Linked DNA regions of Oryzias latipes. The protein of the gene in region 3 purifies or fractionates together with the protein of the main gene of each other region. This does not show direct contact. Links are inferred from orthologs where the notes say so. Each region holds a gene or a part of one and is shown on either strand. Other genes may lie near its edges.

Region 1 (6,921 bases), on a different chromosome or scaffold from region 3:
ACTGGCGACCAGTCCAGGATGTCCCCTGCCTTCGCCCACAAGTGGCCGGGATAGGCTCCAGCAGCCCATGACCCCGAAAGGAAAAAACGGACTAGAAAATAAATGAATGAATGAATGAATGAATAAGTCATAAACATGGATCGCTGCTTCGCCTAACGGACTTAGCTCCATAAACACGGATGTGAGTAATAGTTGGATTCACAGCAGATACTTTCACATTTCTGTCTGCGCGTGTCTCATTACATTGAAGACTCAGAGGATGTTTAGAGATCAGATTTATTTATTTTAAAAAGCTCTACAAAAGCATCATACTCGTTAGCAGTCACTTTACATCCGAAGGCTAGTAGGCTACATGTATCCCATCATGCATCACTGTTAAGAATAATGAGAAACAGAATAGTTAGAAACTCCCTTTTACTTTTTATTACACTAACTTTTACTTTTATTACACTAATGGTTTAAACTTGATTCATTATGTATTATCATCTCAAAATTATATTACATTTGAAGACAGCACAGCCAAGCTATTTTTCTCACAGTTTCTTCTCATACTCCCTTTTTCTGTGTGTGTGTGTGATGCCTCAGAGATAACTCCATTGCAACCTTGGAGCTTCTTTCCAGCAGCAACCTGTGGGCGTGATTTTCACACCATTGTCCAGTGTATGATCTTCTGAATATGCAAATACAGGGTTTATATACCAAGCCCATCTCTGAGCTCCGTTGTTCAGACTTTGGATGCACCATGTTCATCTGTCTGTCCCTTTCGTGTTTGTACGAAGTAAAACTTCCACAAAAGATAAGTAACTGTCTCTGAGTCATTATTCATTCATTTCTGTGTGCAGGAAATTGAAGGGTACGAACCTAATTTAACTATTTTACAGTCCTGTTTACAATTTCCAGTTTCCTCACATTTGGTCCTTTGAGCACGATTGGTTACGTAGCACGTAGCCTACTAGCCTTCAGATTTAAAGCGACTGCTAAAGTGTGTTAATAACAGACCAGTCCTGCATGTTATTATTTCTATTCGACCCTAAACTACAATATCCCATACAGCAGCTGGCTGGCCGGTAGATGGCCAGTCAGCTGCCCGAATGCCGCCATGACAAGCAGAAGAGCTCTGCTGCGGATTTAGGAGCTATGTCTGGTAGGTGAAGCAGGAAGCTTTGGCATCCAAAATCTTATGATATTTTTCTGATTTTCATCGAGACAATAATAGATGGATCATTCTTGTTTTTTTTCCCCTCTTAAACGAATGTAGGTCACAGAGACACAGAAGTAGCAGCAGAAAGCGGCTTTTGCAGCTGGATGGACGGAGAGTGTACCACCAGGATGTGAATGAACGTGATTACCAATGCTTTTGTGCTTTTCAAAATAAACAAAACTGATCTCTAAACATCCTCCGTGTCCTCAATGCGATGTAAGACACACACAGACAGAAATGTGAAGGTATCTGCTGTCAATCCAACTATTGTTCACATCCGTGTTTATGAAGCTAAGTCCGGTAGGCGAAGCAGGAACCCGTGTTTATGAATGACTTATGACGTAAATAATTCTTTCGTTCGCACAAATTAATTAATTCGTGCGAACAGAATATTATTTTGTGGGAACAATATATTAACTTGTGGGAACGAGATACATTTTATTTGATTCATGTCAGGACACGGACTCCGTATCATGTAAAACATGAATGCTGCTGATGTTGTCTTACAGTTGCATAACATCCAGCAGGTTTCTTCTGTGTGTCTCACAGAAAGAGGCTGAACAAAAATCTAAAAATGTGTCCAAAAAGTTCCAGTGTTATGACGGATCTGGACTTGACTCTTGGAGATGAGATTCCTTCACTCCAAACGTGTCCTCAAATGATGAAAGGTACAGAACACAAGAATATGGCCCATGTGAGACGATCGATCCGAATTCTCAGGAACTCTTTCCTAAACGGTCACACAGGTTTGCTCATATTAAATCTGCAGCTGCTCCTTTCCTCCAGAAGATGCTGACACAGAAAGGACACAGGCTTTAACTTTGAACCTTCTGTCCTGGCTGCTCATGGGATATTTCAAGAAAACAAAACCATAAAATAAAGAAAGTGGACACTCACACACAGCTGGACCACATTGCTGAATCGCTCCAGAGCCATCAGTCCCGTTTGGACAGAGTCTGTCCTTCCTGGAAGTCCTTCAAAAACAACAGTTCAGATCAGAGTGTCCTGATGATGATGATGATGATGATGATGTTTTTCTATGTCTGTACTGATGACTTACTGTCACCATCTGTGCTGGAAGCAAAGTAGAAACCATGGAGATCATACAGAGAAGTGTGTCTAGATCAGGGGAGGGCAAACCTTTTGACCGGGGGGGCCACAAAGAGGTCAACGATGTGACAGCGAGAACCAGGAGCAGATGGGAGGAGTCATTTCATCATCCAAGAAATAACAAGGAATTTGGATGAAAACATGCTTGAACTTTGAAAAAGGAATATGCATATTTGAAAACAGAACGTTTGAGTTTTTTTTTTTGTTTTTTTTTATTTTGGTGCCATTTCCACATATGATGTCCCTCAGCGAAAAAACACAAACTCAGAGAAACGCTGCGTTCATGTGGTGCTGGAATGTTCGGAAAAATGCCTTCCTGACTTGGAAAATGCACAAATCCTCCAGCACCACACCAATGCAGAATAACTTTCCACACCTAAAAGTGCAGAATCTATAGGGAGACACCAGAACTACAGGGAAATGAAAACAATCCTGAGGGTTATCAATATCACTTATTCCAGTTTGGAGGGTCAGATTTAATAGTTCAGTAGTTTGCTGACTCCTGGTCTAGACTGTAGGCTCCATAGATCATCGATGTTGCAGGTCTTTCAGTTATGAAGTTCTAGTTTTATACCAGCAGTAAACATTCATCTACTTCCATTACATTAAGAATGTACCAATTCTGCTGACCAAACTGTGCTTTCTCTGATTTGACTGTTTAAAGTTTAAAACGTTTGAATCATTCTGCAGTTCAAAATTTTAACATTTACAAAGAACACGTTTTTTGTGAGATATTACTTATTCAGACAAGAAGAGAGAGATTCGCTTCGTGAAACTGTAGTCTAGAGGTGTCATGTTACAACATAAACCTACAAACATGTCACGTCTGTTAAGGAAATTAAACAAACGTTTGCCTTTGAAGGACGTAACGACGTGAGCAAAACCATGAAGTTCCTCTGCAGAGTGCAGCCTGCACACAGAAACAGCCTGAAAACGTCCATCCTCTATAAACTCAATTACCCAAAACTCTGTGCGGTGGGACATCAGGGTTTAACTAATGAGGAGGGCTGTTGGATTGGCATTCCTACAAAGAATAGCTCCTCCAATGAGAGAGAGAAGACAGCCAGCTGAGAGAACAGAACGGCGACCATGACTGCAGCTGATGTTTGAGTTCAGAACCGGCGCGGCACCGCCTCGGTCCACACACTACAGAACCGGGGCGGCACCGCCTCGGCCCTCACAGAAGCAGGCCGGCATTGGTTAGCTCGTTCTCGGACTGCTGTCTCGGGTTTTCGTGAACAAACGTTCGCATTAAACTCCTCTTGGAAGCAGAAAACGAACAGACGCGCGGAAAGTGAGAACCTACCTTCTCTCCTGCTGTTGCACGCGACCTGAACGCTGCGTGTTTGAACCACCCCGGCTGCCGTAGAAAAACTGCGTCACAGGTCAAAGTTGAACTGGAAGTGTCATGGCGACGGAGGGGAAGATGAAGAATCCCGGGAAAACGTCCAGAAAAGGTTTGGTTTGAGTAGTTTGGACGGACGTGTTTGGTATTTTATTAGCAGATGAACTGAACTGGGCTCCGTCTATGTCCTGGTGAAATCTCGTGTTTGTGTGACAGCAGGGAGACGCAGCAAAACTCTGACCGCCGAAGAAGAAGCCAGAAGAAGGTTTGGAAGGCTTTCTTCTCAGGTTTATGATCCAGTGTAGGCAGCGCAGTTTGAATGAATCCGTCTCCTTCCCTGAGCCAGGAAGGATGCGCTGAGGGAGCAGCTGGAGCTGGAGAGGAGAGCCCTGGAGGTGGTGGAGCAGCTCCTGGAGAGCAGCGTGGCAGAAGACTTCCTCCTGGAGTCGGTATGAACATCTCCATCTTTAGATAACACCTTCACTTTGATCTGGGTTGCGAGGGAAACCAGCTGAAAAGGCCACGCCCACAAACATTACCAGGTTTCCAGACCACAAACCATCAAACACTGCAAACTACAGCAGAAAGACACAAAACAACTTAAAGATGTAACAGACAGATAGTTGTTAAATTCAACTTAATCCTTTTAGGTTTTTTTTTTTGTATAATTCTTGAAAATTCTGTCTAATGATACATTTATTAAAGATCTTTATAAGGAAATAATTGTTTCAAGTAATTGATAAAATGCACAGAAAGAAAATGAATTTTGCACAAGCTAATGGGGAAAACTTTGAGGTAGAAATTTACAAGAAAACACTAATAAAGAGGTCAACCTGTTGTCAGTCAGGTTAAGAAGGGTTTTAACACACAGGCTCATTTTCTGTTCAGGCCAAGTTCATCACTCCAGCTAATTACAGAGATGCTGTGGAGGAGCGGTCCATCTTAAAGCTGTGTGGTTATCCAACATGTCCAAAGCAGCTGGGCAAAGTAAGACGTCGCCCCTCCACTGAGGGTAATGCTGACGCTCCTGTCTGGGTTTCCTCGTCTAACCGCTGCTGCCTGCTTTGCAGATCCCGTCTCAGCAGTTCAAAATCTCTACCAAGACGAACAGAGTTTATGACATCACAGAGCGCAAGGTGAGTTTCTTCCCAGAAGAAGAACGAACTTTGTCAGTGCAGTCGCAGTTTGAAGACAGAAGAGGTGACCTCATTTGTCATCTTTAGCGTTTCTGCAGTAATTTCTGCTACAAGGCCTCCAAAGAGTTTGAGCTGCAGATCCCAAAGACGCCTCTGTGGCTCAGGAAGTTGGAGAGGTCTGTGAACTGCTCCGCCTTTGTAAGACTCGACGTTCGGGTGGAGTGTCTTTGTAAAAATTCTCTCTTGCCAACAGTCCCCCGAAGATCAGGCTGCTGACGGCAGGACAGAGGTGTGTGCTCGGCGCCCGCGGCCGCACGTCCCTCTGCAGGAGTGAGCGTAACGTGTTGCATGTGTGTGTCCAGTGGGAGCTCCGGAGAGGAGGTGCTGCTGTCAGATCAGCGCCTCAAAGAGGAAGACGTTGAGAAACCACAAGCTGCCGCCCCCGCTGAGCCATGCGGGGATCATCAAAGCTCGGCTGGAGATGAGAGCAGCGGTGGGGAGCAGGACTTTGTCTCCAGTGTGGCCTTCCAGCAGCAGAAACCCCGGGTTCACTGGGCTGACCGCACGGGTGAAAGCAAGAACGGGAGCCAAGGAGAGGAGGGGACGGACGGGACTGAATGTCTGAGTCGCCTTCCACAGGAGGACACGAGGGGGCCGCATCCTGAACCCCCACAGCTGCTCGGTCCCATCACAAGCAAGGCTGAGCCACAGGACTCACCTGAGCGCCCCCAACTGGAAGAGGTAACAGCTCAGATGAGGGAGTGCACTCTTCATGAGACAGCAGCAGCCCCCCTGCCGGGCCTCCACATCACCCAGGTGGGCATGAGCAGGCGAGGAGCTGCAGGGCTGCGGGCTCTGCTGGGGAGGCAGAGCTGCACGGGAGCCAAACGGGAGCCAGCGAGCCTCCTGGAGACCCTGAGGAGGACTCTGAAAGCCTGGTGCACCGATCACACCATCAGGTTCCTGCACGGAGCCGCCTGCTCACCTGCCCCCCGTCATCATAACAGAAAGGAAGAGGGGGAGTTGGATGAAGATGATGATGCAGATGACGTGATATTGACGGACGATAGCGGGGAGAAGAAGCTGTGGGGGACAGAAGGAGACTATGAGACGCTGCAGAGGCTGACCCAACAGATGGAGCTGAGAGTCAAGGAGTTCTACAAGGGGACCTGGGTTATTCCTGTGGAGGAGCCGAGTGCTAACCAGGTGAGGGGGGGGGGTCCCTGTGGACCTCCCATCAGACCTCTGTTCAGTCAAATAAAATGCTGAGAGCAAGTTGAAATAGTCCTGGTTTGTTCTTCACAGCAGAACCTGAAGGAACCGGTCCTGCCGCTCGTGGACTCCCAGGCTCAGCATCTGATCCAGAAACGCATCACCGTGGAGAAGCTCAGCAGCTGGTGCGTGCAGATGTGTCAGACATGAACGTCTTCATCTAAACCTCTGCCTCCCCCAAACATCTTCTGTTTCACAGGAGTCCAGACTCCTGTGACGTTTGATCATATTATATTTATTATAGAAGTCCGGACATTTGTCCAGCCGCCTGCCTGCCTGCTGCTTTGCTCCATAACCAATCTGCTCCTGTCATCTGCAGCCTCAGGACCATCGTAGGCCCGCTGCACCTCACCCTGAGTGATGTCTCCACAGACCTGAACGACTTGGTGAAGACATTCAGGTGGGTGACCTGCACATATGCACCGTTCTCGTCCATTCCAGATCATCCTGCGCGCTGCAGCCTTCCATTCCTGCTCCCCATCATCATGAGACTTGAGGAGGCCCGAGTCCTGCATGAACGTCCCACAGAGCAGCACCGACCCTACTCATTATCCTCAAAGAATAAGAGAAAGCCCAGGAGAGCGTCGTGGTTTCCATGTGGTTGGCTCAGACATATCAGTTAGAGACCTCCAGGGGGGGCTGAAGAACCACAGGTTGACGGGAGCCCCCCAAACCTTTACACCAGGGGTGTCAAACATACGGCCCGCGGGCCATATTCGGCCCGCCAGGTGGTTTAGTCTGGCCCACATGATGAGCAAAAATCTTAAGCATGTTTAAAAAAGAAAGCACGTGTCTAGTCCATTCCTGTGGCGAGTTATGATTTTTTTAAAGAAATAACCGAAATGCGCAATTCTGCC
Region 2 (7,051 bases), on a different chromosome or scaffold from region 3:
TTTGAGAATTTATGAAAAACATAAAAGTCGCAAATCCAACAAAGTTAAGCCATTTAACTGTAAAATTGTATCCGTACTAAAATATCTGCATCTCAGTCATAAAACAAATTCAGTTTATTTGCAAACATTTCCATTAAACATTGTAATTCAAAGAAAATTTACCAATGACTTTTGAGCATAAAAAGCTTTTTAAAAGCAGGTGTTAAAAAGAATGTGTTGCTAAAAATAAGTGGAAAAAATTAAATAAAGAGTTTAATTAAATCTATGTCACACTGTCATAAAAATTACATTGAAAGATCACAGCATGCAACTCAACTGACAACCCAGAGTCCATGTAATGTGTATGCCAATCCTCACCAGGGGTGCCCAGCAGGTTACCATCTCTCATGAGGCGGTACTCGTCTTCACTCAATTCATTTATGAAGTGATAATATGCTTCCTCCCGTCGAAGACGCTCTGCCTGCCTCTGCCGTTCATCTCCCCCACTGGGAGGGTCCATAACAAAGAAGAGTGCTGGAAGGCCCATGTGGAAGGGTGTCAGAGAAATGGACACGGTGAAGCAACATTTCACTTCAGTTCACAAAAATGTGGAACATTTATTCTAATGAAGTTAGACATGCTTCCAATCAGACAACATTAGTTCGTGACCATCAGTCTATATTCTTCTGTTTTATTCTTGTCTAAACAAATTTTAATTATACTTTATAATTTTACTGTTTTGTGGCCATACTATCCTAACTGTGATTCTTGTCAATGCTTTTCTAAAAGGTCTTTTTTGTGCATAAAATAAACTTGCCTCTCTAATACTTGTTATAATTTCTACTTAATTTACAAGAGTATTCAAGGTTCAACACTAATAGCAAAATCATTTGTGTATAGGACTAAGCAATATGGACAGCACAGTAGTATTAACATTTGTGGAAAAAAGGTATAGTCATATATGTTCTGCTGTAAAGGCCCAGCTATAATTTGCATAAATCACTGATCAAATGCCTGTGAGCGAGTATACATAAATAATAACCATGAATAGTATCCCCAAAAGGCCATGTCCAAATCATGTTGTTCAGCTGACTCTTAACCAATCACCGCCCCTGTTTGGTTTTAGTGGCAGGTCAAGTAACCAATCACCGTGCGACAGAGGCGGAAAATGAAACCTATTAAACGGAGATCTACTCCATGTAAACGCAGGACAAGGAAGGAAACACAAAGTCGTGAACAGCACTAAACAATAAAACGATTAAGATATTATACTGGGAATACACGTACGACAACACTTTAACGAGGCTGTTTGTTCTATATTTACTTCAAGACGCTACAATGTTGATTTAAACAAGCAACGCGTCAACTGCTAACTAGCATGCTAGTGATATAACGTCAGCTAGTAGTAGCAGCACTGAAGTCGACAGCCGTTTAGCTGAGAGGCAAAACCTCATAACGCACCACATATGCTGTTACAACAAGTTCGCCGGATATTGCACATATGATCTATCTTTATAGATAAATGGAAACCACATTAGGAAGTAGTGTCAGTAACATTTGCTTTAGAGAAGTACCTGACAAAGCAGCTGTAATGGAAGGTTCTCTCCGCTTTCCCCTTTCTCTCCGACCAAGATGGGACCAGCGGTGCTACATGACTCTGCTCGCCGGAAACAAAATTCCTTAACCCTTAGTTCCTACAAACACAGCTTTTTGTTTATTTCTTTGTTTGTTTGTAATCTTTTTTTAAGTTCCTTGTGATATTATTGACTGGTAAATTTGCTTCTAACATTGATTAAAAGATTAAACATGTTTTTTTTTCTTTTAGTCTACTGTATGCACCAACTGACATCCTTCGTCAGCAGCAAACTAAATGCTGTCTTTTTATTTTTATTTTTAGAATTAATATGCAAAATACAACAAAAATTGAGATTAAATAGAACAATTATGTTGAAAAAAACGGGGATGGCGTATGCATTACAAAACATACATTATAATATAGTAAAAATATTATATATATATATTATATAATTATATATTATATATAAAAATATATTAAAAGACAGACAACTTTCAAATATATTTTTTTTTGTTGTTGCTACTGTTAGAAATTGTACTCCAGTCAATCAAAAAATGTGTATGCATACAGGGAGACATTAGATTAACGAGGATAATTCTAGGTATTGTATTCTTTTTTTTGCTTGTTTGTTTAAATAGAAAATTGTGACTTCTCATGGCATTTCGGTGTGTATGTAAATAGCCTTATTTATGTACCATTTCACGTTTTTTCTCTTATAGAGGTTTTATGTATTTAAATACTTGTTTTCTTTTATGTTTGTTTTTAGGATTTATCAATAATTACTTTTAAAGATTACTATTTGTTGAACTGTAAAAACTAAACACTGGCAAGTGACTGCATAATAAAAGAAAGAATATCTGAAAAACCTTCCTCGGCTTTATTTGTTTGTTGTTCACCCACGTACTGATTTATTTATTTATTTATTTAAGTGCGAATATCCACGTGGTTGTGTATCTCTGCCATTCTCCTTTCTCTGCTGCAGGGGCTGTCTTTACGACACTTTGCGACAATGGCTGGCACGATTACGCCGTGGCTACAGACTGAATTGCGTCTCTTTGGAGAAGATACCGGCTGAGAGAAACGCAGAAACAACAGAAAGGAAATTGTAAAATCGGGCCTTTTTCAGCACGGATAATTGCCAATCTCCGCGCTTACCCATCGGAAGGTTATTTTCGAGCCCAAACCTCGATGTGGAAGCTGAGCTGAAGAAAGAAAGGGACCCGCTGGGAAGGCAACTAGCTGAAATAACCAAAAACCGAGCTCGTTGAGTCAAGGAGCCTAGTTGCCTCCCTAGCGACGCTTTAAAAAGAAAGGAAGAAACGCAGACATTCAGCCTCTGAAGTGGTGAAAAATGGACTATGACTTTAAACTGAAGCTGACCGGTGAACGAGAGCGCGTCGAGGACCTGTTTGAGTACGAAGGATGCAAAGTGGGAAGAGGCACCTACGGTCATGTGTACAAGGCGAAGAGAAAAGATGGGTGAGTTGATGACCAACAAGGCCTCCAGCCGCTGAACCCTGCGCCAGCCCCCTCCCGCTCCATTTAAACCACTTTAGTTTGCCCCCTTTCGCGGTGGAGGAAGCGTGCTGCAGACAAAAACAGCAATAGCAGAGTGTTAAAAAGCCCACACTAGGATGCTGAGGAAGCTTTGTGTAGCAGCACTACTAGCTTAAATGAGGAGTGACATTTTCTCTCATGGATGGGAGGCTAATTTAGCAGGAATATATTTGCAACCATTGCATGCAGCTTTGTGGTTGGTTCTGTGTGAGCATCATTAAATTGTATTAGTTAAGGTTAGATCTAATTAAATTGATATTGTACTTATTGTGGTTCTCAGGTCTTGTTTATCATAATCCACACACATTTAATTATGAATTTGATTATGATTTTCCAGTGGAAATAAAGGTTTATTGGCAGTATAGATGTGTCTGAGATCAGTTTTTTAAACTAATATTTAGACAGGAAATTAAGCTTCAATAATAATTATTTTTTAGGGGACATATTTTTTCTAGTAGTGACACTGGGATTTGTTATTTATGTTGTTAATGTTAAAGCAACACTTGAGCTTTTAAAGTGCAACTTTCCGATGTGGTCCCTAGCTTTATCTGGCCCTAACCTGGGTTAAAGCAGCAACTTCCTGGCCCACACAAGGCGCATTACCCTAAAGGAGAAAATCTGGACAGCAGAACCATAGAAAGAAGCTTTGAGATGTTTGTGTTACTGTTGTTTATGAGACACCGTGGGCTGCAGAATCTTTCCAACTACAAAGTGTGGATTTATAAGATAATTTAGGCCAAGAGGAGGAACGATATTCAAGAGTGAGCCAGTCCCAGAGCTCTGTTTGTCCCTCCCAGCTGCCAGAAACCGCCTGTTTCCTCTCCCCCTTTATTGTTTAGAGCCTCAGAGGTGAGCTTGATTACACAAATCTGGAGGTAATGCAGCTCAGCCTCTTCACCAGCTCCCCACACCAGCTGCCAAGTGCCCCCCTCCCGTCCTTTATTTTTGTTTTCTGTGCATAGAGCTTTCTGGGGGCCTGCTGTCTGGCCTGGTGTTGATGTGCTGGATTTTTCTGTTTTTAGGAAGGATGATAAAGACTACGCCCTCAAGCAGATAGAAGGCACTGGCATCTCCATGTCAGCCTGCAGAGAGATTGCAGTAAGGGCTTTTTCCCACTGGTTAATACATTTATGCCATTCTTTTCATTTAGAATATTTTTGTTTTAACCACTCATTAAATGAAACCAAAATTGGTTTATTGCATTTATTCATTTGTAAAATAAGTTCATAATCATCCTAAACTTTAAATAAGACAAATTAAGATATTTCATTGAAAGGACATTTGTGTTTATTGGATTAAAATGTTTCAAAATGCACTACAATATGTCCTTAGTGTGACATCTGACCATATTAGCAGCTTTCTGTCCCTTGAATCCTTTTACGTCTAAACTTAAAGGGATAGAACACCAAAATGTTTTTTTTTCTTGTGATTTAAATAAAGATTAGCTGTTTTCAACAAGGACAAAGAAAATGAAGCAGGCTTTGCATAAAATGCTTGTTTAGCTCGCTCCACCCCATCTCAAAAAGCCATTTGTGACTTTTAACATTACATTTAGCAGCTAGTTACCCATCATTCTTCCTGTACATGCTGGATACTGGTGGAATAGTCAGACATGAAAAAGGAAATTATTAATTTAAGTTGAACAAAACCCCTTAAAGATCATTTACTCGCTGCTTACCAGCACTGAAAATCATATTTGTGTTCAAAAATCGAAAGTCTGGGTTGGCATTCTCTCACTTTGGTTGTTGCCAGATTATTTATTTATCGTCTTTGCAGGTCAGAGGCTTGTTCAAGTACCGAAAGAACTGTTCTAGAAGCACCAAGCTCAGGGAATGTTTGGCAACTACATTTTTTTTCTGAGGCCATAGTAATTGCTGAAGATCACCTCAAACATGCAATACTTTCTGCCTGGTAGTTTTATTGTCTAAAATTGCAACCAGAGAGTGCTGGGATTAACAAACGCACAGCTCCTGCCTGCAGTTTATCACAGCCATGCTGACTCTGACTTTACTCCATAAACAGGCTCCCATCTGTCAAATCTATCAGAATATTTCTTGGTCGTCAGGTAAACAAAAGCTGGAAGGTGTTTGGAATATTTTATGTATGTTTGTGGCGCGTTCAAAATGTTTTGAACTTACAGGCTAACTCAAACACTTTATAGGCATTCATTAATTGTAAGGTTTATCTGCTTTTGGTAGATCGTGCAGGTAATACCTGATTTTCGTTTTATTTTCGGAAATGTTTCTGGTCTGTGTGTTTTTGTCGTTCCTGATTTATGCCATGGAGCTGAAGGGTTTTATGTTGCAGCTGCTGCGGGAGCTGAAGCACCCCAATGTCATCTCCCTGCAGAAGGTTTTCCTGTCACACGCGGACCGTAAAGTATGGCTGCTCTTTGACTATGCGGAGCATGATCTCTGGGTAAAATGGAAACACACACTGGAACTGCACTACTCATCAATCACACTACTGCTGTGCGAGGGGAGAGCCAATACGATGTTTTTCTACTTTAACTTTTTTCACAAGTAACAAATCCCCACCTATGCTCAACGATATGTTACATAAATTACACTGCACGTCAGTACTTTGAAGATTTTTCTCTACACGCGGGAATGCGCCCCTTTGATGCTTCACACTTCAGAAAGAAAAAAACAACAACACTCCAGTCTGTTGGTGTCATGAGAAGAATTACTTTGCTTTTTGGTAGTTAAACCCTTTTCCATTTAAGTAAGCAGTTACGACTGGCAGAGAATGTAAGTGAAATACCTTTTACTGCCGCAGAGCTGCAACACTTGCATTCCCCCTCCACAGAAGTGGAAACACATGCTTAAACCATATTGCCTGTAGAACACACATGTCAGTGTGTGGATCTGTAGAAAAGAGTCCATTTTGGTAAATGTGCTCATTCATGGTACAGCTGCTGTTTTCTTGTCTTCCCGTAGCACATTATAAAGTTTCACAGAGCATCCAAGGCCAACAAGAAGCCGCTTCAGCTTCCCAGAGGAATGGTGAAGTCTCTGCTCTACCAGATTCTGGATGGCATCCATTACCTCCATGCCAACTGGGTCCTACACAGAGACCTTGTAAGAGGATTGGGGTTTAGGAGGGTGAAGGTTTTTTAGCTAAAATAGAAAGAAAAAAACCAAAGTAAAGAAAAAAAAATGGATTAAATGTAAAAACAGCGTGGGTTTAGTGCAAATTACCACTTATCCTTTAAAATGCTAAATAGTGCTGACCTTCTTTAACTGATATAGGCTTCTTTTCATATAATATTTCTCCTTTTGTTTTTCTCAGAAAATATAGCACCTGAGCTTAATTTACAAAAAAAGCTAATACAGCTTATGAAGTTTTGATTTTGTCCACTAGAGGGCAGCAACAAATAGTTTTTGTTTAATGCATTTACTTTTACAGTGAAAGTCAAGTTCACAAATTGGACTAAACAACAACAAAAAAGAGACAGTTGCTGTTGCTTATCTTGTTCAAATTTTACTGTAACTTATTGTTTTTTTTATTGCCCTATTTAGAAACCTGCTAATATTTTAGTGATGGGAGAAGGGCCTGAGAGGGGCAGAGTAAAGATCGGTATGCATCACTGGACATTTACAAATTGCCTACAATGGTTAAGACTTCCTTTTAATTTTACTCAAAACATGCCTGTTGTGCAGCCGATATGGGGTTTGCTCGTCTTTTCAATTCACCGCTGAAGCCTTTAGCCGACCTGGACCCCGTGGTAGTCACTTTCTGGTACAGAGCACCTGAACTGCTGCTGGGAGCCCGGCACTACACCAAAGCCATCGGTGAGATAGTCTTCTCTAAAGCTTTGTGACCGTTTTAGGCGAAACCATGAATCATGGATCCATTTGTTCCCTTTTTTCTGCTAGACATTTGGGCAATTGGCTGCATTTTCGCGGAGCTGCTGACATCTGAACCCATATTCCACTG
Region 3 (5,494 bases):
TGCTTGTAACTCTAGCATAAATCCGTTTAAATTTTGTCAGCTTATTAAAACCCACATAACTCCATTAATGAAGGATCAAACTGTCCAAGTGAATAAAGAAAAATAACATAAAACGGAGCTAGAAAGAGCATTTAATATAGTGTAACATTTTACCAAAAAAGGCTGCACACAGCCTTGCACCCAACTGTTGGTTTGATGACAACAATTTGTCTGCATACACACAAAAGACCTGCAAACACTGAATAATTACAACTGCAGCTACACATAAATGATATGTAATCAACTAAAATACATTTTTATTTTAAGAATTTAAAAGCTTTCATGCTTTCGGGGGGCCAACTATTAAACTTGGAGGGCCACATTTGGCCCGCGGGCCTTGAGTTTGACACATATGCTCCATATGAAAAAGACATTTCAGTACATATATGACAATAAGGTCTACTATAGTGTTAAGTGAGAAGGTCACTAAAGTGTCCCATGCTCTGCCAAACGTTCAAAATGTGTAAAGTAGCGATGCTTTCTAGAGACTGCGCAGAATAGTGACACCTTTCTGTTCAGAAACAGGCGAGGTAGAGCGGCGTGTTGTTGGTGTGGGTTAGGGTCCAGAAAGACTCACTTAATTTACGTTTTTTGCTCAAACATTTGAGCATGAAGGCTGTCGTTACACACAGGGCCTTGCAACAGTATTCACCCCCTTGAATGCTTGTCCCTTTAGTTGCTTTCATAAATCACTCGTGGTCAATAACATTTGTCTTTCCTCACACAAACATTTGCTAGAAAAGAACCTTCAAACAGATTTCTACAAAGTAATATCTAATGAAATATAATTGTTTGCATAATTATTCACCCCCCTTTTAAATGTAATGGTCTAATTCAGTTGAAGTCCATCCAATTAGTCCCAATAGTCTCACAATTAGTGAAATGAAGATCACCCGAGTGGTGTGGTTGTGTCCCAAACCAGCCTATGGAGGGTCCAGGTACTGGTGGAGCGGTATTCCTGGCTACCATTTCCCCGTGAAGACAGAGAAACACTCCAAGCAGCTCAGAGAAAGGGTTGTTGAAAGGTAAAAGTCAGGGGGTGGATACAAAAACATTTCCAAGGCATTGAACATCCCTGGAGTTTAGTGAAATCCATCCAGAAATGGAAGGTATGTGGCACATGTGGGACTCTCCCTAGATCAGGCCGCCCTCATAAACTGAGTGACCGTACAAGGAGGAGCCTTGTGACAGACGCCACCGAGACCCCACCCACCAAGACCCTACGACTAATTTGAAGGAGTTACAAGCTGCTGCTCAGGATGCTGAGACGGTGCATTTAGGGTTCTTTACCGACCAACGCTTTATGGGAGACGGGCAACAAGAAAGCCACAAAGTTCACCAAAAGGCATGTGGAAGACTCCATGACCAGGTGGAAGAAGATACTTTGGTCTGATGAGACCAAAAATTGAGCTTTTTGGCCATCAGACACGACGCAACCCATCCAAAATACACCTTCCCCACTGTGAAGCATGGTGGTGGCAGCATCATGCTGTGGGGATGTTTCTCAGCAGAAGGCGTGTAAAGATGGAGGGCAGAACAAATGCTGCAAAATACACTGAAATCTTTGAGGACAATCTTTATCGGTCTGCAAGAGAACTACGGCTTGGGAGGAGATTTGTTCTCCAGGTAGCAAACGGCAGAAGCTACACAGGAATGGTTTCAAAAGAACCGGGGAAATGTTCTGGAGTGGGCGAGTCAAAGCCCAGACCTAGATCCCATAGAGAATTTGGTGTGAGGAAAGACACATTTTATAGACCAAGGGGGGTTTATGAAAGCGACTAAAGGGACAAACATCCAAGGGAGGGAATACTTTTGCAAAAGACTGTAAGAGAAGTTATTGTTTCCTAATAATACTATGGAATGTCTAAAAGTAGTAATCCAAAGACTTCACTCAATGTAGGAGTAAACAAATAAGTAACTGTTCAGATAAGTGTCGTAATTTATGGAATTATTACCATATACTGATGATTTTCTAATACGACTGTCCATATTTAAAAATAAATGATACAAATTTGACGAAACATAAATGGTGACTAATGAGATACATACTTTGTTACTGAGTAACTGTCCAGACTTTAAGAAAAAAAAGAAAATCTGACTTTCATAAATAAAACTGCACAAATTTCTTAAGTGTGTGAGAGGAATCCTCTATTCAGTGAAAGCTGAAGCGTTAAAATACCAGAAATAACGTAACATTACCTTCTCTACAGTGACTTTTCTTCCTCTTTTTTTATTTTTAGAATACGCTCAGCTGTTTGCGGCTCTCATAGCCAGAACCGCCAAAGATGTGGACGTTCTCATCGACTCTCTGCCCAGCGAGGAGTCCACGGCGGCTCTGCAGGTCAGCATGGTCACGCACCCACACTTCCTCACTGAGCCACAAACTCCAGGAACCACCAGCAGCAAGTCAGGGGGAAAAGTTTGGAGCGTTTACAGCTTCCAGACAGCAGAGGGAGCCAGAGCAAAATCTGGAAAGGTTCCTGCTGTCAGTAGATGAAATCAACCGGCTCCTATCAATTAGACTGATCAAAGTCATTCTCATGGTAAATGATACAGCTGCATAGACTCAAGATTGCTACTATAAAATATCGACTCACTGGGACAAGTTTTTACTGAGAATTCTGTTCTTAGACTAGACTTGGCATGCTCTCTTATACGCTTTTCCTTCTTTTTAGGTATTAAAGTACATAAAAACATTTCTTCAGACATGTTGACACATCTATAAGGAGAAGTCTTTGTTTAATAGTTTTTCTATGGTCTGATGACAGAGCACACATCCCCTTGTGCTGTCTTTTGGGGTCTAGATGACCCAACTCCCAATGTTAGGCACGTTAACATTGGGAGTTGGGTCATCTAGACCCACTAGACAGTGCGCTGAACCTTTTTTCTTCAATGATTTGTGATCTTCACTGGTGTCCATGGATTACATGAAATCTTTCCACCTTTATCCACCTTTGTCATGGTAGGGAGAACACGCCAATGTAAGTAAAGTAAAATAACTCTTTATTTATATAGCACTTTTCACAGAGAGCGACTCACAAAGTGCTTCACAATGTTAAAACAATATAAAATCAGTAGCAATACCCAATAAAACACACACAGGCATAGAAGTAAACAAACAGGCAGAAGTGAACACAAGTAAAAGTCAGCTAAAAGCTCTCCTGAATAAAATTGTCTTAACTTGAGCTTTAAAACACTCAATTGAGTCAATCTGGCGCAGAGTCAATGTAAGGGCGGGGTCATCTGGACCCCACAAGATAGCACAAGGGTAACACTGGATCAGCATGAAGTCTGTTGTAAATATGTGTTTTTCTGAATGGACCATGTGACCCGTCGCCAGGCAGCCAGTCTGCGGCAGCTGGAGGAGGAGAACCACGAGGCGGCCGCTCGTCTGGAGGAGGTGGTTTTCCGCGGCGACATGCTGTTGAAGAGGATCCAGCACGCGCTGGCAGACATCGCCCAGTCTCAGCTGCGCACTCGCAGCGGAGCGAATGGCCAGCCGTCGCCGGCCGAGTCCTGACTGGGTCGGATTGAAGGGTTTTCCCTGCATGGAGGACTGGGAAGGAACGATGGAAAACAGGGGTGAAAATAGGAGTGACAGGATACGGAATGAAACCCTCAAAGTCTCGCTTTGCTGTCAGACCTACATTTCAACTTGCAAACCCCTGCTTTTGTATGTTTTGTCAGTTTTCTTTTGTATATTTATAACAGTGTGTGTTGTTTTTTTATTTGTGGTTTGTCACGAGGGTAAAGTCTTTAATAAAAAAACTCATTTAATTTGGTTAATCTGGTGTTTAAAGTCCCACTAATCTTTTGATCTACTTCAAAGTGTTCCTAGTGGTCTTTTAATTATGATAATGCTGTTTTAGCCAAAATAAAATGAAAAAACTGTCTCGTTTTCAAGGACATAGTTTCTCCAGAGTGGCAGGAGTTCATTAGAAATTCACCTTTGAGCCGTTGGATGGACTGTTGGAGTGGAGCAACCCCCCCTCTTCCCGTCACCCACCTGTTTACACTCTCCCCCGCTAGCCTACAACCTAGCATTAGCGGTGACGATTAGCGGCGAGCAACATCGTAGCTGTCCAGCCGTGCAGCTTAGACCCAGATTCCAGCTCAGACGAGGAAAACAAGGTCGTTCATGGATCCGTTCAACTGAGTCCATCAGAATGGAGCGGAGCTGGGAGCTTGTGGCCCCGCCCAGCTTCTTTTCTACGTCACGAGTTTTATAAAGAAACACTAATTTTCTAAATGCACGTTCTCCATCATGAGAAAAAAGCCTCACGAAGATGTTAAAAACACCGTTTTGATCTGAGTGGCAGCACTTCTTCATTTTAACCACACACGCCTCCGTCTCCTTATATCACAGCCCATCATGAAACGGGTTTGGGCCCGGTGCGTGTCTCTGCAGGTGGGCCGCTTCAGCTGTGGCCTGGGGGTTCAGTTTGTGGTCAGGACGAGGCAGCTGCCCTTCATGTCCTTATGAGAGACGAGGCGCCATCGGTTGAGCGAACTCTGGAAGTCCTGGAGGATAAGGAGCCTCAGGACTGGGAGGAGGGGTCCATCAGAAGATCAGCCTGTAAATGTAGAAGATTCCTTTATAGCACTGAGGCCCCCGGGGGCCTCAGTGCTATAAAGGAATCTTCTACATTTACAGGTGCTGTGCTTTCTGCTTTGATCTACAATTTCAAGAATTCAGAAAAGACTAGATTATTTGATCTGTTGATTGGATCTCTTATTAACTTTTACAACTCTACAGATAAGGTCAGTCACATCCCCGCTGTCTTGTTGAACAAAAAGAAGTCAGAGCTTCCCGGAAAAGAAAAAGAAAAGAAAAATCAGGAAATTAATTCCGACTTTGTTCCCTTCTTAGCATTCTGTCATCGCAGAAGCACATAATCAGGATTGTCCTGTAACCATGTTACCACAAGACTTTCAAAATAAAACGTACGGCGAAAAAACAACCTGAACCCTCCGAGCTCAAAGTAATCATGTAAATCAACCCGATTCTGAGCTTAATGGAACTGATCAAATGGAACACTACACAACCTTGAGATGCTTTATATGGAGACGCTCCTTGGTTGCCATGGTGACGTGTTTGGGATCATTGTTACAGTGGAGCACGTAGGCTCAACGTTGTGGAAGGAAGGAGGTTTTTGCCCAAAATCTCTCCATTCATGAATCCATTCATCCTTTCCTTCTGTGGATCAGTCGTTCTGTGTCCTTTGCAGGAAAACAGCCCCAAACCATGATGTTTACACCCCCATGCTTCACAGTGAGTCTAACGCTCTTGGGATGGCACTCGGCATTCTTCTAACTACAGAGTGACGTTCGTGCCAAAGAGTGTTCCATTTCGGTTTCTGATCACACGACCTTCTCCCTATCCTCCTGTGGATCATCCAGAAGGTCTCTGGAGAACTTGAGGCGGTTCTGGACTTGTGCTGGTTTAAGCAGGAGG
Region 4 (5,432 bases), on a different chromosome or scaffold from region 3:
CCCTATAAATTCTCTGCTCGCACCACTTCAGCTTCAGAGACAGAGCCTGGGTCAGACTCCTCACTATAACTCTAGGATTGAGACCGTCCGAGCAAGAGCAGTGCGAGACCGGGTGCAGGTTTGCTGCAAGTATGATTAAGAAGATGTCACCGTCGGAGAATGACTTCGACATTCCAGCCAAGAATTGTCACAGGATGGTGATCCTGGGCTCCACTAAAGTTGGGAAGACAGCCATCATCTCTCGGTTTCTGAATGAGAGATTTGATGACCAATACACACCCACCATTGAAGATTTCCACCGGAAATTTTACAGCATTAGAGGGGACGTTTACCAGTTGGACATCCTGGACACATCTGGAAACCACCCCTTCCCTGCAATGAGGAGGCTTTCAATTCTCACTGGTGAGTTCAGCTTGAAACTTGCACATTATGCTTCTAGGATAGAGGAAATATTTCCCGGCAACACTGGTTTTGTTCAGCTCTAAAACGCACGTTTCCTCTGTTCTTCCAGGTGATGTTTTCATCTTAGTGTTCAGCCTGGACAACAGAGATTCCTTTCAAGAGGTGCAGCGCCTGAAGCGCCAAATCCACGAGACCAAGTCATGCCTGCGAAACAAAACTAAGGAGAACGTGGACGTCCCGCTGGTCATCTGCGGCAACAAGTGCGACAGAGACTTTTACCGGGAGGTGCAGGACGAGGAGATTGAGCAGCTGGTTGGTGGAGATGAACAGTGCGCATACTTTGAAATCTCAGCGAAGAAGAACACCAACGTCGACCAGATGTTTCAGACTCTCTTTACCATGGCCAAGCTGCCAAACGAAATGAGTCCTGATCGGCACTGCAAAGTTTCCCTGCAGTACTGCGACGTTCTCCACAGAAAGTCTTTCAGAAGCAAGAAGTGCAAAGATGGGAACGCATATGGGATTGTGGCACCGTTCGCACGAAGACCAAGCGTGCACAGTGACTTGATGTACATAAAGGAGAAAGCCATCGGCGGCGGCCACGCCAAAGAAAAGGGCTGCGTAATTTGCTGACCATTTCTACGAGCGCAAAAAACTTTGTCCCCATGTGACTATGCGCAGCGCGTCTGCGACAAACTTTAGGCACTCTTGTCCAATATGAGCCAAGACATGTAGTGAAATCGATGCTCTGAAAATGCTGTAAATCTGTTTCTACATTTTGCTTTCTATGCGCAGCACTAGAAGGTGAAAACCAAGTTTACATGTTGCCTTTTTTTCAAACTTGAATGTTTGCTGCAGAATGAACAAATGAACTCCATGTGTATATTTATTATGTCCTTGTCCACTTTTGCATAAAGAGAAAATAAAAAATAAAAAACTTGATACTTTCATAGTCTGTTCTCAGTCCCACTCTCCAATTTCTCGCATAAAACAAACACTTTAAGAATTATATATACGTTTTCATTCTGCTGTTCGAATGAAAATACATGTTTATAACACATCATTTATTGAGACATTCTGAAATTAAATGGACTTATATATAAAAAGAGCTAACAGCCTGAATAATTATTCATTAGGACTCCATTGTTTGCACAAATGATAACCATGGCACAATAACAGAGAAGGAAAACAATTAGACTAGGAGGCAGTGCAGCACATATAATTAGAGGCTATTTAGTAGATATCAACAGATGTAATATTTGGCCCATTAGAGACAATATCATTTATGATTAAAATCAAACTTTGTTTAGAGAAAAATGCTGATTCACATTAAATTAGATTTACTTTGCATGTTGTGAAAAGGAACTACATAAAGTTATGTGAAAGTGTGTGCCGTGGCAAATGCTTTCCTTTATTTAAAAACCTTTTAGATTCAGACTAAATGGTCTGCTCAATAAAGCATCAAAGCCCTTATACATTTATTATTAATAATAATAATAATAATAATAATAATGAAAACAAGTAAAACACTATAGCACGATTTAATTTATTAAAAATAGAGATTTACAACTTGAAATAATAACAGATACTTCAGAAACAGAGCAGATCATTCACACTGATGCAAACAAAAAAGAAAAACAAAAGTCCCATTTTTCATTTCAGGTTTTTTTTTAAATGGTAAACCGTAGAAATAAACGTCTTTGCTCAAGTCTCCAGTTTGTAGTCTGTTGTCTCACGACGCCTTAGGCACATCAAACATGCACAGTCCCTTGTACTTCTGCAGCAGCTGGTTCTTGGTGCGGACCTGCTCCCGCAGCGTGGCCAGCTGCTGCTGCTGCTCCGGCGGACTGCAGTCTATCCCAGACATGTTAGAGATCTGCTCCCGGGTTTCTTGGATCTTTGTTTTTAGTTTTGTCAGCTCCTGGTTGACATCCGGGCTGTCCTTATCCATGCTAAGCAGAAACATAAATAAATAAATAAATACATAAATAACAGACTTCTATTAAAGGCAAAACTGCACCCATGATGGGAAGCGTTCACGTCACTTCTCATATAGCAAACCGTAAATACCCCCAACGAGAGTTTACCGTGAACCATTTAGTAAATACCAACATATACGTAAACCCAGCACACAGGAAACAGCTTACCATTTGATAATGTCGTGAACTAAGGGCAGCAAAGAGCAGTCTTCGGTCTCCTTCACGAGCTTAGCCTGAGCTACCGCCATTGCTACTCCTTCTGCAACTGGCGCAGGCTGATGACGTCACAGGTTACTCCGAGAATCTCAACTGAAATCACAACTTTAAAAAAGTTCAATTGATGTTGAACAACAACAACAACAACAATGATTATAGATGAATGAGTGAATGATTGATTGAATGAATAAATGAATGAATGAATGAATGAATGAATACTCTAGTTATCAAAAGTATGAAAAAAATGATTACCTTGAGATGGTAAGTCATATAAGTCATGGTATGATTCCCAAACTATTAAAAAGTCTTGACACAAAACAAGAAATAACAAAGAAAAATTTGCTGTAATAAATTTCAAACACAAGAAAAAAGATCTAAAAGATTTGGGACTGATTTCTTTCTGATAAAGCCCTTGCAATTCTCGTGGCATGTCATCATTTTGCTCAGAATAGGTCCCAGACCTATTCCAAGGTTGCTCGGGCATCAAGTCCGGGTGCCTCCTGTACGCCTCTCTGGGGAGGTGTTGCGGGCATGTCCCACTATGCGGAGGCCCCGGGGAAGACCCAGGACACGCTGGAGAAACTACGTCTCTCGGCTGGCCTGGGAACACCTTGGGGTCCCTCCCAGAAGAGCTGGAGGAAGTAGCAGGGGCGAGGGAAGTCTGGGCATCTTTGCTTAGACTGCCCCCGTGACCCAGTCCCGGTAAAGCAGAGTAAGATGGATGGATGGATGGATGGAGGTCACAGACCATTTGTCAATGCACATAATAAACACATGACCTAGGACTTGGAATGACCTTGGCTACACGTCTTGCTACTTGGTAACCTGAAGTACTGACATCGAAAGTCAACACAAGACATGCTTGAGAACTGAAAAATGGGGAGCTGTGTAAACACTAGAGCTCATAGCAAGCACAAATATAGTCTCACGGTGCGTCACGCAATTTGTCTGTTTGGAAGATAAATGAAGTGTTTCATTCAGGTCGTGCATCTCTGTCTGGAAACCCTTTTTCCTTTTCTGTTTACACAGTGCGTCCTTGTTGATTGGGGATACAATATTTAGTATGTAGAAAATAAAACAAAATAATGAAAAGCTTACTTCCTGGTTATTTTCTAAAGCCCTGTTTGGCAATACATTAGGCAACACGGAGAATTAAAATGGCTAATTTGCTCAATTCTTTGTTAGTACAAGTGACTACACGATTATGCATGTGTAGCAATGACGATTCTCCTGTTTGATGTTGAATTATGTGTTTTATTTTTAAATGTATTCTTTTTAGCCCAAATAACTCATGTTTACATCCATTTCACATGAAATCAAGTTTGACCTCTTGATGCAGCGAACATCCCATGAGTTCATTACTCACACCTGGTGAACACAGAAAGGGAAAAACTCAGTCTCCCCTGGAGAAGATAGAATGCCAACGTGACACAGGCAGTGAGCATTAAATTAAGTGTGAGGCTTTTACCCAGAGGTGTGACAAAGAATGGATATCTAAATGAGTGGCGCCACTGACTGTAAAAGTAAGGATTTCCATTTCGACTTGATTGGGAGGTTTTGCACAAACTAAACAGAATATATTAGTAACCTCAAATTGACGTTTTCAGAGCATTTTACAATGTAAACTATCACAGTGTAAACTATCAAATCTTGGATCATTTTGACGGATCTGGTCATTGCATCACACATATCAAACCAATTTGAAAAGAGAATATCGCTGTTTTTATATGCTGATGAGCTGAACCTCACTTTTGAGGCAGCGAAGGAGCTTGCATAATTATTTTTAGATTTAGTAATAATTTAAATCCAGTTTTGAACATTAGCCAGGATTTGCAGAAATCACTTTTAGAGCGACATACAGTAAATGCCGTTGCAGTAGCTGGGATTGTCTCCCTTGCAGTCAAATATGACTTTTAAAACTAAAATTGCAGCAAGGATTTAAATAAAAAAAATAGTTTTTTTTCTTCAAAATCCTGTTGAAATGTTTTGTTTTTGTTTAATTAGTTGCAGATATATTGAAATAGGTGTGTTTTTCTTCTTTTTACATTGCAAAATATGTGAAAAGTTGAATACATTTGGCAACATATAAAAGGATAGTTTCACTTTACACTTTTTTAGATTTTCCTTAATTTAAAAAAATAAAATATAACCTAATAATGAAAACACATCAGATTTTGAGGGATAATTCTTTGTTGAATTGTGGATCATTTTACAATTTTTATTAATAAAAACAACGCTTTGACCATTGCTGGTTCAAAATTTAGCCCACAGAATTTCCCTTTTATGGACAAAGATGAACTACTTGCCTTTTCCTGGAAAACTTCTTCCATAAACTCAGTAGAAAATGCAACGACTGCCAAGAGAGTTCTAGTGCGACTCTTTGGCTGGGTCATATCCGAACACTTCCTTTTGAACTTCTCCATAACACCCCCCAAATGGTTAGGTTTACCCCGCCCGCTCTCTGCAATGACGTAAAGAAGACAGCTGACAGTTTCCAACAGATGGGTCACATCCTAGCATCCTTGGTGGAAAGCTGGTGGGATGCAGATGCCCTGTCTGCTGATCTGTTGGCTAATCATAGCACACTTATATCGGTCTGACACTATTTTTTTCCAAACAAGCTGGCTGTATTTCCAAACATTAGGCTTGAAAAAAAGATACCACTTTAACTTAATCTTGCAAAACTAATTTATATCAGACAAAATACATTTCCCCTGAATGTGAATCTCCATTTTTTTTTTAGTTTGTTTGTGAAGTTTTCAGAAACATTATTTGTCTATCTTATAGAAAAGTTAGAAATTGTACATTTTTTACTTCATTTTCAATCATTGTTGC
Region 5 (6,916 bases), on a different chromosome or scaffold from region 3:
TTTATTTATTAGACGCGGTTGTGTTTTTTCCACCTGCCTGACATGTTTCGCCGGAGTTCTTCCGTCTTCGTCAGAGTCGTCGGTGGGCCTTTATTGCACTAGCTTTGGTTTACTTTGAATTAGTTTATACTTTTATGGCTGAGGTGCACCTAGAATTAAGATAAAGTATGTGGAGATTTCCACATTCCTGCTGACATGAAGAGGCCTTGTTCGCTCTGTGCGTCCTCCTGAATACACAAATTTCAAATACTGAGCAAATTTTGGTAAAAAGTCTAATCTTTGCTTTATATACTTTTTCTACTGGATCAAGAAAACAATGAATTCATGTTTATGTTCAGGTCAAGAACAGTAGTAAGTAGAAAAAAGATGATGGCTCCCCAAAGTAGACATATGGGAAATAACAAAAGAAAAAGCTGTTTTTGTCTCGCCTTGTTTAAAACCTTTCGTTTTAAGGAAGCCTTTTATTTTAAAAGGAAGTCATACTGCCTACCTTCTGTCAAAAGCAAAAAGCAATTTGACATTGTGAGAAAACATTAGTTGCTCTTCATGCCAGGAAAATAAATGTAAATTCACATCTATAACAAAAATGAATAAATGCAAAGCACTATCAAATTTTCCTACAGGTTAAAATAGGACTTTGTGGCTTTGAGTAGATTTTGATAAGTAATGAACAGGCTCAAATGGCTCTTTTGGTTGCAGACTCCTGTTTTAGGGTAATCTGTATAAAAGGCTTACAGGCTTCTTGACATCATGGGTGGCTGCAGAGAGGGTCCACCAGAAACATAAGAGGAGAAGCTAAAAAAGCTTCAAAGTGGCTCATGAAGAGGAGCCATGACATAACATGCTGCTTAGATAGAAAATGGGGACTGATCACCACTGGTTGGGTCGACTGAGTAAGGGGCCGGGAAGAAGAAATACCCGAAACATCCTTTGAGTTATTCACTGAGGATGCAATTAAATTGCAACTTTTCAAGGTCTTTCAATGTTCTTTCAATATTTGTTGCTGAGGAACAATGACGTTATTAAAACTTATTGAAGTTTTGTACAAATAATTTAGCATTTTACAAACGAGCTTTGTTAGAGTAATAACATAAAGAATGAAACACAAGTGAATTAAATGCAACATTTTTCCAAAGGGCCCACTGAAGAACAACTGTGTCTGGAATTTACAAAGACATATCTTCCATGCCCCCATAGTCCTGAGCAGGACTACGGGGGCATGGAGTCCATTCCAGTTACTTCAGGGCATAAACAACATAACTCTAAGCACTTTACTAGACCATCAGAAGTCTATTCAAACTTCTTAAGGGACAATTTTAGAGTAGAGTACCTAATTTACCAATAAAACATGCTTTGAACCCCTTCAGGAACCTGAAGGTCTTGGAAAAAACAATGGACACACAAAATGTAAAAACCTCACACACATTCCAACCCTACCGTTCTGAAATTTGAATCACCACGCCACCTGGTGGAGTTGCAGGAGATTACAAAAGGTGAGAAAATAATAGTTGCTACAGATTCATTCTCAAGTTTACAGAGTTTCAGAAGTGTTTGCTACCAGTGTAGCTGTGAAAAAAAACGTGTGGCAACTTCAGGTGGAGTATAAAGACTAAAGTAAGACTAAATAAATAAATAAATAAAGTAAGACTAAATAAAGTCTGCATATGACCTTATGACCTGCAAGGAGCAGGTAGAGAAGCATCTAGAGAGGAATAAAGACCAGTCACAGCAAGATAATGTACCTACATGGAAATACAAGAAGCAATTGAAACTGTTGAAAACTAATAATGCGGATAAAGAACATTTTTAGTTATAAAATAAAGGTTTGTATTTTAAAGGTCACATGGTTAAAAAAAATACAAATTTTATATGATATAAATAACACTGACAAACATATCAGTAAGAAATTCAAAAGAGAGGGGAAAAGATGAATAAAGTTAAAATGAATATCAGGGACCAAAAATCTCAGCAGGTCTATGCTATGGCGAGCTCACATGGTCTTTTATTATTGAACACTACAAATGTTAAGTTAGGAACCTGTAAACATAAATGTAAAACAGTTAGAACATTTAGAACAAAAAATGAGATAGATCATCAAATAAAGACACAAGAAAGCAAAACAAAGACAGAGTCAACTAAAAAACACCTAAATATGAAGAGTTTTGATATAATTTAATGCCTTTAAAAAAGTTGAAACATTTTCTTGCTTTTTTACTTTTCATGAATTAAACAAATCTACTTAAGAAACACATTAAACAGTGGTTTGGTTTTTAATAATTTACTTTTATGAATATAAAATTTGCTTTTGATTGTTAAAATATTTTAAACTAAATTTAACAGACTGTTATGTGAAATTACACCAAAAAGAATGTTGTTCTTTTTTAATGAGACTTGAACAGAGGAATTTGAACACCACAAATGAAACTCATCCCCAAAAAGATTCAAAGTACATGCAATCAACAAGCAATTTCAACACAAAAATACAATTGTTTTCTTTAAATCTTTAACTTTAACATTTATTTACAAGGAAATAAATTATTTATTACAAGGGCATATATGACTGAACAGTTCTATCGTTGTGTTTGAGGGGAGTTCCTACACTTCATCTTCCAGGACAGTAGGTAGCAGAAGCGCACCATTATTGCTAGATGACACCCGCCTAAACCAGAAGAAAGCAGAGGAAGAATATCACCGGAAGTAGATCGGTGTTGTGACCGGAAGTTCCCCGAGCGCCGTTGTTCTCTGCACAGTTAACGTTCTCACCGTAGTCTCCGAGAGAAGCTGACGGAGCTCATCGGTACTGCGCGCCTCTGCGACCCGTGACTGTGACTCGACATGACTGCCGCTGGAAGCTCGGTTTCCTCGCACGTGGGAGACGTCGAAGAAGACGCGTCACAGTTGCTGTTTCCCAAAGGTGGCGCGCACAAATACTGTTTACTTCCGAAACTTTTTGTTAGGTTACAGTGTAACCTGTATTGGAAACAATTACGTTGCTATATGTGACCGATGAGGATAATCATCCCCTGATTATTAATTTATGTAAGCTGCATCACCGATTTGAATCTGAATATTTTCATTATACGACCATCATCATCTGTACTGGTTAAATGTTTCTCTCACTGACACACATGTATTGTGATCATCATGATGTTTGGTCCACTGATCAAGATAGAATTATTTGTTTGTTTGCTGAGAGTAAACTATAAGTTTAAATTTACATGGATTGCTGTCCTGGAAGGTCTGAGACTCAACAAGCTTCCTAAAATAGTACAGGCTGACTTTGATCAGCAGGATTTTTGTCCTACTTCTTGAAACAGGCCTTAAATTCCAGTCCACAATCACTGCAGGAATCCTTCTGTCTTTCAATCAAAATGGTTCTGGAGCTGATATTCTGTAGAATCTGAGCTCAAATTCAGTGACTAACCAGCCCCCTCCTGCTGTCTGCAGAGTTTGAGAACTCTGAGACGCTGCTGAACTCGGAGGTCCACATGCTGCTGGAGCACAGGAAGCAGCAGAACGAGAGCGCCGAGGACGAACAGGAGTTGTCCGAGGTCTTCATGAAGACTCTCAACTACACGGCCCGCTTCAGCCGCTTCAAGAACCGCGAGACCATCACTGCCGTGCGCAGGTAAGGATGCCCCTTCTGGTCCCAGGTCCTGGCCCTGATCTGGGTCCTAATGGCCTTTCTGTCTGTCTCAGTCTCCTCCTGCAGAAGAAGCTCCATAAATTTGAGCTGGCCAGTTTGGCGAATCTGTGTCCTGAAGCTGCAGAGGAGGCTAAAGCTCTGACCCCCAGGTGAGTCTGGACTGAACCGGACTTGTTCTTTTCACCCATAAATTACAGGGTCTTCGTTAACCAATCTGTGAAAAGATTCACCTGACATCAGATTATTCTGAACACCTTAGTGATTTTAGGATTTTTGGGAGGCTTGACTTTTTATTTTATTTTAACACTTTCAGTAAATTGAGTAAAAGTATAAGTTAGTCTGGATGCCAAGGAGATTTATTTAGTAATGTCGAAGTAACACTATTTTACATTAAGGGCAGACGTGTGCAGCTTTAATTGAATTAATTCAAAGAGAAAACCTGAGAGATTATCCTAAACTGGATCAGAAAACATTTTGGATCAATTCATCACAGACATGTAGTTTTATGCTGTTCTTACTTGTCAGGAATTGGTTTCTTGTTGAAATTATTATGCATTAAAAAATAGCAGATAAGTTATTTTAGATTGTTTAGTGATCATTATTTTTGTGAAAATATACAGTGGTGGACAAAATTGTTGGTACCCATCAGTTATAGAAACAAATTCCAGAATTCTCACTAAAATGACTTGAAATGTTCAAAAGTAACAATAAATTAAAATTTAATGAAAATGAAATAATCAAAATCAGCTTTTTAATTTGTTGATTGACAGAATTATTTAAAAAAAAAAAAAAGCTAATGAAATAGGGTTGGCCAAAAATGATGGTACCTCCATAACAGACTGAGAACTAATTGCCCAGGGGGTCATGATGAACTCAGGTATGTCCTTAAATTGACATCATAGCTGTCTTCAAACTCATAATCAGTCAGTCTGTCAACAATTTTGTCCACCACTGTATCTTACTGAGATATGGATCGTTTTGCAGGTGATGTTGTTACAATTCTTATCAAATAATTCATCGTTGAGAGAATAAAGTTCTGCCGGGTTCTGCTTCTTTTCTCAGTCTGGAGGGTCGCTTTGAGGATGAAGAGCTGCAACAGATCCTGGATGACATTCAGACCAAGAGGAGCTTCCAGTACTAAGACCAGGACCAGCAGCTGGACCTGAGACCTCCAGAACTCTCCTTAACAGAGGCAGCGTGGTTCACGTTCCACCGGGACCAGAAAAATCACAGAACATTTAATCCACCCACCACCCAGCAGAATCTTGATGTACTTTAAAGGCACACAAGATGCTGTTTGTGTGTCTGATTCTATCCGGTCTGTGGAAAATCCAGCACATGTTGATAAGAAAACTGTATCTGTGCTCTGCTCCTTCGGGTACCTATGGGCAGAAACTCAAATCCATCATCAGTGAGCTTATCCCGAACACCGCCCACTCGTACTGCCAGCTCAGACCTGCAAGACCACCTTCGAGTCAGAGTCCACGCAAAATTGATTCCCAACAGAACCTTCTTGTCCCAGGAGAACCCCTTTTAGTGCTTTTGTGTGGTTGTCTGTCCAAACCGCTTATTAGGAGCGGAACAGGGAACTGGATTTATTGTGTTGATTGAAAATAAAAATTTAAAAAAACTACACCAAGGAACAACCAAGCAAAGTTTGTAAAGCTCTTTTAACAAAAAGAATCACAAAGTGAGAAGGAGAGCCGGTGGACCATAGGGACAGAGGCAGGGAGGGATCTCATCAAATCTTCCAATCTTTATTACAGCTAAAGGGTAGGTAGGTGGTGAAACAGGAAAAGATGCAGCAAATGAATCACAGGTGCTGTCATTCCCTTCTCCACCAAGGATTCCTAGATGGATTGCTGTCCATTAAAAAAAAAAAGTTATATACACAATATAAATTAAAAAATGTAAAGACGTGATATAGCATCAGTATTAGCATTGGCCCCAGGGACACAGCAGGGAGAGAATTGGGGGGTACATTTTAAACTGTTCTTCTGAACACTCACTACGGTCCATGACTCATCTAAGTGGGGTTCGAACCAACATTTTCAGAGGAATAAGACTTGAATGCCATCAGTAACTGAAGCTTTACCATTGGAACAATAAAGTTAAATTTGAAATAAAAAAACGGCCAGCATTGGGTAAGACTAACTACAACATTGTTTCCTCTTGTTTGAAGAAGTAATTTCAAAAATGCGTTTTTAATTATTTATATTTACATTACAAAATAAAATTCCAACGTTTAAGTTATGTCCTATTTGCCAGCTGTCGAGCTAATGCTGTTTTCACAGTGTTCACTAAAGTCTTATTTTGGTAATGTTTGGCTCATCGATGAAGGAGAGATTTTTGATGTTTACTGACTACTGACTTCTAAAAGATCGCGATGCACAAGCGTGATGCCTAAAAAGACATTTGTCAGAAGTGGGATTCGAACCCACGCCTCCAGAGGAGACTGCGACCTGAACGCAGCGCCTTAGACCGCTCGGCCATCCTGACATCTTGTTTACGCACCAACATTTCTGTATAAAGAACATCTCCAAAAAAATCTAGGGTCGGAGGAAGTTACTTATTAGAGCCTCTAGACCAGGTGTCTCAAACTCGCGGCCTGCGGGCTATTTGCGGCCCCCAAGATGATATTTTGCGGCCCCCACCTTAATATGAACGTTTAATTTTAGTTTTCTTTTTTTAACTTTAGCCTCCTCTGGGCATATTTATTAACCATTGACTGAGCACGGAACAGGAACGTCTCTCTCGTACATTTTTTTTTATACTTTATTGACAAACAACACAATACAATAACATTGTGAATGTTTCAGGGGAAATTGCAATGTGTACATATTACAGAAAATATAAGAAATAAAACAAAAAGTATATAAATATATAAACATACATATACAACATAAGACAAAAAGAATAATTACTTCAAAAATCTTTGGGGTTTAATAAATTTAAAATTTTTCAAAAATTAAATTAGTTCGAATTGCTTTTTGGTTTTGCAGATGTTTGACAATGGTACAATACTGATTGATTTCACTCAAAAACTGCTGGAATTTAGGTTTGGAGTTTGACCATTTGGCTTTATGGATATGAAATTTTGCCAATAATAAAAACAATTGTGTAATGAAGATACAATCTTCGTCTACTTTGACATTAAGGTAACCCAGAACAATGTCTTTATCTAAAAATGTAACAGTTTGTGTAGTTATATTTCCAATATAGTTTCCCACTTCAATCCAAAACATACTTGTATGTTTGCATTCCGCAAAC

Evidence for each region.
Region 1: the proteins of med21 (region 3) and rpap2 purify together in Homo sapiens (affinity purification with mass spectrometry; 3 studies listed by BioGRID and IntAct, with this or other methods). This does not show direct contact. The link is inferred for Oryzias latipes from reciprocal best matches to the Homo sapiens genes MED21 and RPAP2.
Region 2: the proteins of med21 (region 3) and cdk8 purify together in Homo sapiens (affinity purification with mass spectrometry; 14 studies listed by BioGRID and IntAct, counting the BioPlex papers as one, with this or other methods). This does not show direct contact. The link is inferred for Oryzias latipes from reciprocal best matches to the Homo sapiens genes MED21 and CDK8.
Region 4: the proteins of med21 (region 3) and med9 purify together in Homo sapiens (co-immunoprecipitation; 8 studies listed by BioGRID and IntAct, counting the BioPlex papers as one, with this or other methods). This does not show direct contact. The link is inferred for Oryzias latipes from reciprocal best matches to the Homo sapiens genes MED21 and MED9.
Region 5: the proteins of med21 (region 3) and polr2d purify together in Homo sapiens (affinity purification with mass spectrometry; 4 studies listed by BioGRID and IntAct, with this or other methods). This does not show direct contact. The link is inferred for Oryzias latipes from reciprocal best matches to the Homo sapiens genes MED21 and POLR2D.

What each region holds. Positions count from the first base shown.
Region 1 is NC_019875.2:5,933,222-5,940,142, forward strand, and holds the start of rpap2 (putative RNA polymerase II subunit B1 CTD phosphatase RPAP2), read left to right. Parts: upstream 1-3,008; 5' UTR 3,009-3,719; coding exon 3,720-3,768; intron 3,769-3,872; coding exon 3,873-3,921; intron 3,922-4,002; coding exon 4,003-4,105; intron 4,106-4,544; coding exon 4,545-4,643; intron 4,644-4,726; coding exon 4,727-4,792; intron 4,793-4,879; coding exon 4,880-4,968; intron 4,969-5,045; coding exon 5,046-5,081; intron 5,082-5,154; coding exon 5,155-5,998; intron 5,999-6,097; coding exon 6,098-6,189; intron 6,190-6,383; coding exon 6,384-6,464; intron 6,465-6,921. Other genes in the region: glmn (glomulin), read right to left, coding at 2,099-2,137.
Region 2 is NC_019878.2:17,540,503-17,547,553, reverse strand, and holds the start of cdk8 (cyclin-dependent kinase 8), read left to right. Parts: upstream 1-2,512; 5' UTR 2,513-2,906; coding exon 2,907-3,034; intron 3,035-4,134; coding exon 4,135-4,210; intron 4,211-5,419; coding exon 5,420-5,530; intron 5,531-6,051; coding exon 6,052-6,192; intron 6,193-6,633; coding exon 6,634-6,691; intron 6,692-6,774; coding exon 6,775-6,906; intron 6,907-6,990; coding exon 6,991-7,051. Other genes in the region: E3 ubiquitin-protein ligase RNF6, read right to left, coding at 358-499.
Region 3 is NC_019881.2:3,902,436-3,907,929, reverse strand, and holds the end of med21 (mediator of RNA polymerase II transcription subunit 21), read left to right. Parts: intron 1-2,279; coding exon 2,280-2,380; intron 2,381-3,379; coding exon 3,380-3,559; 3' UTR 3,560-3,825; downstream 3,826-5,494. UniProt on the Homo sapiens protein: Component of the Mediator complex, a coactivator involved in the regulated transcription of nearly all RNA polymerase II-dependent genes.
Region 4 is NC_019866.2:10,873,603-10,879,034, reverse strand, and holds med9 (mediator of RNA polymerase II transcription subunit 9), read right to left. Parts: upstream 2,682-5,432; 5' UTR 2,630-2,681; coding exon 2,550-2,629; intron 2,355-2,549; coding exon 2,135-2,354; 3' UTR 1,930-2,134; downstream 1-1,929. Other genes in the region: rasd1 (dexamethasone-induced Ras-related protein 1), read left to right, coding at 132-402, 512-1,035.
Region 5 is NC_019878.2:10,413,107-10,420,022, reverse strand, and holds polr2d (DNA-directed RNA polymerase II subunit RPB4), read left to right. Parts: upstream 1-2,699; 5' UTR 2,700-2,835; coding exon 2,836-2,914; intron 2,915-3,447; coding exon 3,448-3,628; intron 3,629-3,699; coding exon 3,700-3,795; intron 3,796-4,708; coding exon 4,709-4,787; 3' UTR 4,788-5,292; downstream 5,293-6,916. UniProt on the Homo sapiens protein: Core component of RNA polymerase II (Pol II), a DNA-dependent RNA polymerase which synthesizes mRNA precursors and many functional non-coding RNAs using the four ribonucleoside triphosphates as substrates.